Drosophila melanogaster: one gene and its partners. The protein of the gene in region 3 interacts with the protein of the main gene of each other region in a pairwise test. Each region holds a gene or a part of one and is shown on either strand. Other genes may lie near its edges. The genes, in order: aspr, CG17666 and CG4116.

Region 1 (3,756 bases), about 17 Mb from region 3:
CAATCGTAGAGCCAGTCGAATGAAATGAGTTTGAACTGGATTGGGATTCATTCACTAAAGTATTCGATATGAACAAACATCTCAATCGAGAAGCGAGTATCACGCCCCCTTTGCCGGTTTATGTGTCATAATCGCATTCGAGTTCTGAAAAAGCCCAATAAACATGACTAACTCGATGATCCGCTGTTTGGTAGCAAACATTGGCTTGGACTTGGACTCTCAGTGGTCAGTGGGATTCTGGTGGCACCATGTTTGGGCTAACTGGGCATGGAGATGAGACGAGACGAGACGAGACGATCGAGATGATGATATGGCTTCGCTCTCAAGGTGGCGATCATTGTTGGCGAATGACACATGGGTGATAAACTTGTTGTCCGCTTCTTTGGAAGCTCAATTCGGGCTAAAAACAATTATTCAAATATCGGCATACAATAAGAATATGCAAATGGGGGTCGGCTGCCTTTTCGAATTACTCTGAATGACCAATATGGTAGTCCATGTTCGTATCAACTAAGTTGTCGATCATCGCGTAAATGGCACGGATGGATCCACCGAGGGAGGAAATTGGATTTTTTTCTTAAATCACACATCTTGCAGGGTGATTTATAATCTGATTACATTGCGCAAGGGAAGTGAAGTGAATCAGAGCCATATTTGTTATATTATATATGTACATACATATGTACATTTAAATAATTGCTTTTGGAAGGGCGAGAACTAAATAGTCAACTATATAATCTGTTCAATCTTGAATTAGTTAAATAAAACGTAAAACCTGTCAGAGTTTAGATTAAATTAATGCTTTCTAAATTTAAATAATGAGCAAGAAAATGTTAAGTGCTCAACATAAGTAGGTAAAAAGGTAAACAATTCAAATCTATTGGACTTTTTACTCTTCTCGTAATGGCAATTAAAATAACAAGCTATGCTAAAGTGCTAGAAACTAATTGGTTTGTGTTTTTGGCTTTGTGCACAAACAAATGAATAATGGGCTTGATGTTTACTTGGGCAGCTTAAAAAGCGTTGAGTGATTGATCATCGCCAAAAAAAACAAAAAAATGGGCAGATAAAAGGCAGATCGAAGACACTCAAAAGAATAAACCGATCGTGGGCTTCAGAAACATTACGAGTATGTGGGAATATTTCTTGGTTCATTCGATGTATTTGCAAATCCATTCACCACTATTCATCTAGCCGGAAGTAAATAGCAAATAGCAAAGTTAAGTCCTTACATTGTGAAATGAATATTTTTTTTGTCGTGTTTGCTTTAAGTACATCAATATTCCATTCACGTATCATTTACTGAATGCATATTTTATGTATTGCCTTTGTGCGTAATTTTTTCACTTAAGTTTTCGCGGTGAAGAAAATAAACAGCAAATAAATGTGCAAGTTTAAATCTATATACTTATTCGTGATTCAGATTCTTTCCTTAAATCGAACCCATTTTTATTACTTTTATAAAATTGTTTATAAATTATCCATCGTTGATAGATTGCTTCAGTTTAGATGATTTAAAAAAAAAAAAGGATATATTCCTTAACACACGTTTATATATACATATTGATTTTGGTTATTCCCACTGCAACTCACCATTTTCGGGGTTCAGTTCTTAGAAAACACTAGCACTACAGCAGATAAAGAACGTAAAATAAAAAACAAAACAAAAAGTGTCAACTGATAAATGGTTGCGATTTCCCACTTGGCACGCTTCGCTTTCAACTGAGTCGGCTTCTAGACGAGCTTGGGCTATTTATAAGGCCGCAACTCTTAACTTGGCCGAGAAACAGCTGAGCGACGTTGGCGTCATCTCTCAGCTGCTCTGCTCTGCTCTGATCTGCTCACCTTCCCTTCCCGAATTCCCCTCTACCCCGCATCCACAACCCTTCCACTTACACAGAGAAAAAACTATAGTATAGCTTGATATTAAAGATTTGTAAAGTAAATTATCTCTCCTCAGGTAGTAGCATCCAATAGTTGTTGTAATTTTAACAAAATAAAGATCGGAATTTACCAAATTCATTAGTTTTATAACTAATTTACCATTATGTCTGCATAAGTTCAACTTGCTAAACTAGAAACATTTCGAGTAACGAAAGCAGTAGATCAAATTGATGAAGTAGTTAATTTAGTTATATATATTTGTTCAGCCTGTCAGTTGGAAAACTATTTTTCCCAATGCACCAGCATTCTGTCTCATAACTCTGTTTGACAAGCTTGTTTTGCTGTTTGTTGACTTTGTATATTGTGCTGCTCGATTTTAGCTAAAATCATTTCAGTCCAAATCGCTTCTCAGACTGAGTCATTCGTACACACATACATATACATATATATACATATATTTGCCTGGGCATCGGGCTATTTATATACGCGTACTTGACGCGACTTTGCTTCGGATTGTTTTGGTCATGCCTTTGCTATGATGGCTCGATTTCTGCGTGGGCCGCTGCATCCAAGTGCCGTGGGTCGAACTTGGCTGGGCTTCCTACTAAACACGGCTCCGGATCGTAGGCAACTTGGCTGTGAACGAAGAAATTGCCCACTTGACACAATGGGCAGGTCGCTAGTACTAGGCGGTACCTGGTAATATATGTACACACATATTTCTGAAAGCATCCAAAACTAAGCGACTCTTTATCTTTGTAGGATTTAAAAGACAGTTATGTCATTTAAATTTACAAATCTATTATACTATAATTTATACCGATTCTTCAAACAGAATGTATCTTATCCGCACCGGATGCCTATTACTACTAACTGGGGGAAATATTCAATATGGTCATTTCGCTAAGGTTTTTTCTTCTTTCTATTTCTTCTTAATTGGGCATAAGATATATGTAGATAATCGCATTACAAAATTTAATTAATTTCACGAATTTACATATTTTTCAATCTGAAATATGTCGGAAATTGAGGAGAACAAAAAATCGCCCATTTCCGTTCAAATAGTAAGCGAAAAGAGAATATACATAAATGAAAGAAAATAAAATTTGAAAAAAAAAAAAAACTGAGAGGCCGTAAATATTCTTGATTAGCTTGAGGTATTCCGATTCACTCATACCACACAATAAGCCAATTGGGTATTTCATTGAACATCTTCACTAACTCACTCTACCGTTTCCTAAGTCCATTTCAATGGCATTCGAGTTTAAAATATAAGCTTAGCAAGACCGGCTCCACTTTCATTCGATATCAAAAAGAACGGATTAAGAACAAACGAATCTGCACTGGAATCGAGCCAATTAAAACGAGAATCTTGACTTCTGCTGGCTGCGTGGGCATTGGTTAGAATGAATAATAGAGATGGTTTGACCTATAGCAATAAGATAATGACCATTTGCCAATTTGCAATCGACTACCATTTTCAAATGAAATGGCATCATTGAATGGCATCGCTTAAGCTCCGCAAATCGAATCGATATGGGAATATTACAGATTAAACTGCAAATTGAAACGTACGCCAATTGGCCATAATTGAATGAGAATTCACCTGACGACCGATACGGGCACCTGTTCTTTGGGCCAACTTAATTATACCGTCTTGGCCTACAAATCTCTGGGCCAACACTTAGCTTACCATATTTTAGCTGCCTATATTTTGTCTCCTTTCCTTTCCAACAGCCAGTCAAGGTCGCGCGACAGGTTGCCCTGATGGATTGGGTTGTCCGGGATCCTGGATCCCAAACCGAAATGGAGCCACTCCCCTGCCTCCTCATAATTCATACCGCCCAATATCAATCATATTCCATCATGGTG
Region 2 (3,756 bases), on a different chromosome or scaffold from region 3:
AAGTAGTTATTCTGATTTGGCATCGATAGTGGCACAGGATACAGACCAAACGGCATCTGTTGCTGTGACGACTGAGGTGCTGATGGCATGGTCCAAATCGTCTCCGACCTGGTGGACTCGATGGTTTGGCATGGAAAGCTAGCCGGCAAAGAATGCTGATCCACTTGCGAGTTAAATCCCTGATCCTCTTCGCCGTTTTCCATTGTTTCATCTGGTTGGGCATCTCCCACGTCGTGTTCCTCTGCCAGTACATCAATAAACTGAGTTTCTGGCGCCCAACGTGGGACGTCAGTGGCATTTTGGGACAGCACATGCATCTGTCGCACTCTTGTGGCTCCACACGCGCTATTCAACTGCAGTTGCACTTGTGCAATCTGCGCCTGAGCCTCGAGCATTTGCTTTCTTAGCTCCTCGGCCAGCATTTCGGTCAGGCCATAGTTGTTCTCCTCAATGCCTTGCTGTTGCATTTGTTGTTCCATTTGATCACAGGTATTCACTTGCTGAAGCTGCTGACAAGGATACACATTCTGCATCTGCGGCAGAACTTGCTGCTGCATCGACTGCTGCAAATTGTATGCAAATGCTTTGCCAGACTGCTGCTGCTCCTGACACTTGAGACATCCTTTTGGTTTCACATTGGGACAGGGTGGATTTCGTCCACAATTTCGTTGCTGTTGCTGGAAGCAAGATGGTTGCTGCTGCAAGCAAGATGGTTTCTGCTGCAAGCAAGATGGTTTCTGCTGCAAGCAAGATGGTTTCTGTTGAAAGCACGGTTGTTGCTGTTGAAAGCAAGGTTGTTGCTGCTGAGGACAAGATCGTTGCTGTCCAAACCAATTACCATTCTGTTGCTGCGGACAACCCGTGCACTTATTGCACCTCGAAATCGATGGCGGTTCGTTGTTCATGTTATCATTTTCACAATCGAGGCTGAGGAAATGTGCTTCGGTAACCTGGCAAGCGGTGACTATTTCCGCTTCACCCATAATTTGGTGTTCCTCATCGCATATGGTCACGATATTTCCGCAATTGGGGACGTCGGATTGAAACCATTGGCAAGTACCAGGACGATGTCGTGTGGGATACTCTCCTCGAAAGCAGGGAATTATCTTCGAGTTCGATGGCTTCGGTTCCGTTTCTGGTATACATTCTGTGGGCTTTTCTTCCTCTATTATAAAATTGGTTTTCGTTTCCGGTTTCAAGTTCTCATGCGTTTCCGGGATTGAATTATTTGTGTCTTTCACTTCTGTTTGCTTGTTTTCTTCGGTCAAACTCGGAACTCCGGAAGGTATCTTTTCGAACTCTTTTTCTCTGGCCTTGGCGACGGATGCCTCACTAACCAGCTCTGGTATCTTATTGAACTCTTCTTCCCTGCTTTTTGCCTTCACTGTGGGGGATTCATTGCGACGTTTGGCTGAGGCCATCATAGACTGACCAGGAGTCTTTGAATTGGGTGGATCTCCTCCCAACACTGGTTTCACCGGCATACCCGCCTTCAATCGAACCGATGCCTTGGGCTTACTGTGCGACATCAATGGCACAAACTCTGGACTTCCCATCGATCTGCAGACACTTGCCTGCCGGCGACGACGAGGTGTTGGTGGGCAGGATGATCGGGAACGCACGGCTTCCTGTCCAGACGGTAAGCTCTGAGCCAGGGCTCGCACCAGCTGCTGTCCGACTCGATTGCTGTATTGCTCCGATGCTATGTTCCTCCTCGGAGGAGGACTCGCATGACGCCAATAGGGACTGGGCCTGGTTGACTTGACTCCGTCATTGGGCATTTCTTCTTTTTTCCCAAATACAATTTTTTGTCTCAGTTATACAATGCTTCCGTTTAAATTTGTTTTTTGGCGTGACAAAGAATTTTGTAATGTCATTTTTTTGACCAAAACTAAAAAGAGAGTTTTGGTCGACATAAATAGTAAGTTAAATAAACCAAGGAAGTCTTTTTGTTTACAAGGTTTCTCTTATATTCATATCATATTATAATCTGTAAAGAACACATATATGAAGATGGTAGCACCACTTTCAAAACGTTGTTTTATCACAACTGATCATGCAATGATTTTAACAATATAGTCTTAGTTTAGGACATCAAAAATATAAATTGTACCATTTACTTCTACTTTTTTATGATTTTGACTACCGATGTTATGTTTGTGTACTCTTCGTAATTGACCATGAGTGAAGGTGGACTTTTAAACAGAACCAGGAGTTGAAAATGTGCGATCCATGTCGATATTTAAGGAGGTGCATAAGCTGCCATGGCAATGGCTGGTAAGTATAAGAATATAGTTAGTGTCTCAACCCAATTGCATTTATACTCATCCGCAGGTGCTGTCCTCGACCAAGTTGCTGTGAGCGATCTTGTTCCTCTAATATGAGGAATTGTCGCGTCGTGTTTTCTGGGGAGTTCCAAAAGTTTTCGGACATGGTGCCGCCCAGTTTTCTTCTAAAGACGCCAGAGCGCCCAAAGAAAAGGAAACGATCGAAAAGTTGCTCAGCCTGTGGGGACAATTGTAAGGATCCGTGTTTAAACATGGATGCATGTGCGGAGAGTTGTGAGAATCCATGTCAAGATGGTAAGAATGGATGCAAGAATCCTGAAGATTGCGCGCAAGACGATCTAGCTAGAACTGGAGCCTACGGAACAGGCTTTGGCTTCCAACCGGGACAACCGACTATTATTCCGTGTTATGGAACTTACGGACCGACAGGAAATCCAATGATTTTTGGTATCCCGCCACCGACTCAATATGGAGGCTTTGGTGTACCTGGTCCCATAGTTCTACCAGTGGCTCCACCATCCTCGGTAGGTCAGGGTGATCCAAGATCTATTCCAGCGGCAGGTCTACCCACACAGTACACAAATAAGTTTAATCCCTGTACCGGAGAAGTCTACCAATGCGGAGATCGCCAAATGCCACCTGGAAGGCCACAAGGAACGGCGCAAGTACCTTCCTATAATCAATTTATACAGGGTTTAGGCATGAGCTGTGCCCCCAATAGTCAGTATATTCCATTCGATGCAACATTCCAACAACGTCCAATAAATCAAATGCCAGTCACTCCTACCTCAGGAGGAAGTGCACCAGCTTATGGCCGAAATAATCAACCAATGAACTGTGAGCCCAACAATCAGAATTATAGCTATACTGTTCCCCAATCAACGAATCAAGTTCATGTTGGTGCTAACAGATCTGAAGTCTATAACCAGCAGAGTCAAGCCACACATTCAAGGCCAGTTCCCCAATTGGAGTCATCAAAGGGGCAACTGCCTCATGGTAACAACAGATCTAAATCTCCAAATCAACGAAGCCCATCTAGGGGAGATCGATCAGGCAGAGCTTATGCCAATAATAATTTTCCTGAAAATGTTCATGCTAGTCCAGGTGCTCAGAGGTCCAAGTCGCTCAGTCACCGAAATGAGTCGAGGGAAGGTCGTTCCGGAAAACCACAAGCCAGTAGAGCCACAACCAATTATCATTCTAATAGTGGTGGAGATAGAAATGTAGATCATAGGTCCGCGCCCAAGTCAATGGCATCCGCTGGTGAAGTGCGTTCTCGTGATAACAACAGATCGTACGATTCAAGAAATCGTAATAAATCTGTAGGAGCACCTACCAATCGACAACCCGTACTTTATGACCAGCAGAGGGTGGGCATGGGCATTGATCCATCCAATCAGTATTATCCGTACAATGAATGCGCTCCACTTAATGCCACATTTGTCCAAGACCATAATCCTTTTTATGC
Region 3 (3,582 bases):
TTGGGGAAAACTTTAGCTGGCAATTCTATTGCCAAACGCATTTTGCACTTCAATTGCACGTGCAAATGAAAATGGAAGGGGTGGGCTATTGGTGTGTTGGTGTGTTGCTGGAAAAGTCTGCGAAAAACTGAAAAATTCAAGCCTGTTAATATGCGTAAGTGTGTGGGGCAGGTGGGTGTTGGCTGTTGGATGTCGGATGTTGTGTGGTGGGTTGTGGGTGGTGGTTTGGCAAGTGGGTGGAATCTCCTGCGAGGAGTCCTGGCGTGAAGTTGTCGCTTTATTTTTCTTCTCGGGCTTCTGGTGCTGTCATTGATATGGCATTTTCCCCAACCACCCAAAAGTACCTCTGAGTACCTCCCAACCTCCATCCCATTTTTAGCCTCACCTTCTTTCGTTGTCGTTTTGTCGTCGCCTGTTGTTAATTGTCATTGCGTCGCTTTAAGCCGCTCAGTGGCAGGAAAATGGGAAATGGAAGCCTCACCTTGCGTGTGGGGTGGGGAAAATCGAGAGGTGGTGCCGGATAAAGTGAATCAAGAGGAAGGCCAAGGAGCAGGAAAGACTATCGGACATACTCTTGCCTTGCCGAATGTCACTGCAAATCGTTGAGCAAATTGACAGCTTTTAAGTTGACAAACAAATTATTAAGTATGATCATATTCAATATATTTATTTTCTATACGTTAGTATATATATGATATTACCAGTTCTATTTGAATGCACATCACTATAATACTATCTACTAATATTAGCTTTGAAACTAGTTTAGCCTGCGCATTATAATTCGTGTGGATAGTCCGGTTTAAAGATGATTTTAGGAGCATATGCTTCCCTTCGGTGTGGATGGATAGTTTCTCCCTTAGCCGTTGTTGTTATTGCCACTGTTGCTGTTTTCACGCGCGGTTAGCGCCTGTAATTGCATTGCCAAGTAAAGGACGAACCGCGAACAGTGAGCGACATTCGTATGTGTCTCTACGTTCGTGTGGCGCTCCATGTGTGCGCTGCACTGGCAGAAAACAATTGGTGGTTCTTAAAAGCGGAATTTGGGACATACTATCATCATATATCGCTACAATTACAAAAATATATGCTTAACATGGCTGCCCCTTTCTTTGTTTTTTCTTAGTTTAAGAGCAATCCTTTGTGTTTTTGGCCAGTGTAGTTTTGGTGCGTGTGTGTGAGCGTTGGCGTAAGTGAAATTTATTTCAACAGCCCCCGCCAGGCATTCAGCCCCAAAACTGTCGGTTGGCCAACTTAGGCGAAAAATTGAGAAGCAAGGCACCACCAGCAAGGCAGCATCGCATCAACGGCAAATGAAATGAGGCTGGCAAAAAGGGGGATTCCGGGGGTTAAATGCGCCCCAATAGGGGGCGCCATCTGCGGCACACTGGCGCCAAAGTGATGGAAACCATTCCGAATGCACAATCTCACAGCGGTTGATCCAAAAAAAAAAAAAAAAAGGAGTGAATGAAAATATGCAATTCTCAGAGAGAGAGAGAAAGCGTTAAGTGGGTGCATAAAGGGGCAACAGCGGTTTATGGGTTCAACTTTGTATCGTGCAGAGTATTTGCTCGGCTATAGAGCAGTATTCCGTTGCTAATAGAACCCTTAAAAGGTACAAAAACCAATATACGATTTGGATTTCAAATTCCCATTTATATTATTACCCACTGTGCCCGAAAAAACCCCCAACTGAAGCTGCAAGCAGACGTGTTTCTGTTGCTGATTTTAAATTTTAATTAAAGTGTGGCTCCTTGGTTTTTGGTTTTGGTTTTTGGCTTTGGTTTTGCTTTTCGGTTTCGGCTGCGACCACTTGAGGTTCACGATCCGCGGCAAAGCAAACAATGGCCTACAAGTAGGGGCACTTCTTGACACGCTCTTGCCACTTGAAAAGTCCAACTATTTGGCCTCGGGGCCAGCAAAAATGGTGCGAGAAGAATGAAGAAAGGCTTTCTAAAACCTATAACCTATATATATTGGCAAGCAAAATTCCGGGCATCATGGCATCCATGACCGATGAAAGTCGATTTCCGTCAACTCATGTTGGGCTATAAAAGTGCCAAAGATCTGCCCAATGGCACACACAGTTCGATGGTCCATCGTCCAGAAATGATCTACGCAATTCTAGTGCTCTGTCTGCTGGGCAGTTGTTGCCCAGCAATGGCCCAGAAGGTCGAAAAGGATCCGCTGGCCAAGGAACAAAATACCCGTTTGGCCGGCATCTATGTGAAGGATGGCAACGAAAATGGCCAGCTGAGATTCCTGGCATCGGGCTTGAACAGTGGCAGCAGCAGCACCAGCTCTTCAAACACCGGTATCAACTCGGCCCTGAATCAGTACATAACCAATAAGCAGGATATGCTGGAGCAACTGCGTCCCACTTCGGGCACCACATCAACGGGAACGGGAGCTGTTACGGGCACATCGACGGGAACAACAGGAACGACTTCGGGAACCGGAACTGGCCTGGTCACCACGACTTCCAATGGAGCTATCTATGTGAACCTGGGCAGTTCGGGATCCTCATCATCATCGTCTTCCTCCTCGTCGGCCACCAATGCGGCCATTAATCAGGTCATCTATGGATCCTCGCCAGTTGCCGGTCTCTTGCCGCAGATCGTTGGCCAGGCGGTGTCCAGTCGAGTGCGTCCCGGTGGCCAGAACAATAGGAGGCGCGTTCCCGCCCGTAGGCGCCGGGTCAACAAGAGGCGTGGCAGCATTAACAACAACAATCAGCGACGTCGCCGGCGTGGCAACAAGCGGGGCAAGAATAAGGCCCAGGTGATGGTGGTGCGACCAAATCGCGGTTGAGAAGAGGATCCACCGCCTTTCTTAGTTAAGCGAAAAATTACTTTTTTTTTGCCCCCCAGCCAAGGAATTTTTTTTTTTTTAATGATTACTATTAGTATGCGAGAAGGCAACCTTATTTATTTATTTAAATGATTGAAAGCAATTACACTCTGCAACCAAGGTGGTTTTATTCGAGGTCATTATGGCAAAGGCGTGAAATGGATAATTAAATTTTAGCTTTGGTATAACATGCATATTTCATGGACATCATTGCTCTCACCTTGTGTATGTTTTCCAATCGACCAAATTTGCGATTGCAAAGCCTCAAATTTGTGTAGGCCAGTGGATTTGGCGTAGTTGCACTAATTTATGGGCCAACTGGTGTTCATGTTCAAAGGGCCGCCAGTCGGTGTGTCTGCGAGGTGCGCTGGCCCGTTTAGAACCCCCTTGGTGAGCCCCTGGTCAAGTGCAAGACAAACGGTCTCCGGTCGGCTCTGCATGCGGCGGTCAATGTCTTGATAAATGTCTGCAGGATGGCGCCCGGGGAGTGGCGCCCGTTGCTCCTCGTCCTGGTCAGCAGGACGACCCCTCGTGCGGCGCCGCTGTTCCATTTCGCGAACCTCTAAATCACCGTCACGTGTCCGGGCTGTGTATTATGTGCTCATGACTGTAATGAGCCTGTAAGTGGACCTAATCAGTGTCATAATAATAGAAATTAATCACTGCAAGGCCATAGTGGCATGGGTGGTGAAAAATTGTGGAAAGGGGCGTGGAAGGCAAGAGGCCGAATGGAGG

The links.
Region 1: the proteins of CG4116 (region 3) and aspr interact in a two-hybrid assay, tested with the Drosophila melanogaster proteins (one large-scale study listed by BioGRID).
Region 2: the proteins of CG4116 (region 3) and CG17666 interact in a two-hybrid assay, tested with the Drosophila melanogaster proteins (one large-scale study listed by BioGRID).

The regions. Positions count from the first base shown.
Region 1 is NC_004354.4:20,146,099-20,149,854, reverse strand, and holds the start of aspr (asperous), read right to left. Parts: upstream 1,732-3,756; 5' UTR 1,597-1,731; coding exon 1,594-1,596; intron 1-1,593.
Region 2 is NT_037436.4:12,779,241-12,782,996, forward strand, and holds the start of CG17666 (uncharacterized protein), read left to right. Parts: upstream 1-2,084; 5' UTR 2,085-2,221; coding exon 2,222-2,277; intron 2,278-2,334; coding exon 2,335-3,756. Other genes in the region: CG10969 (uncharacterized protein), read right to left, coding at 1-1,781.
Region 3 is NC_004354.4:3,065,994-3,069,575, reverse strand, and holds CG4116 (uncharacterized protein), read left to right. Parts: upstream 1-2,013; coding exon 2,014-2,808; 3' UTR 2,809-2,961; downstream 2,962-3,582.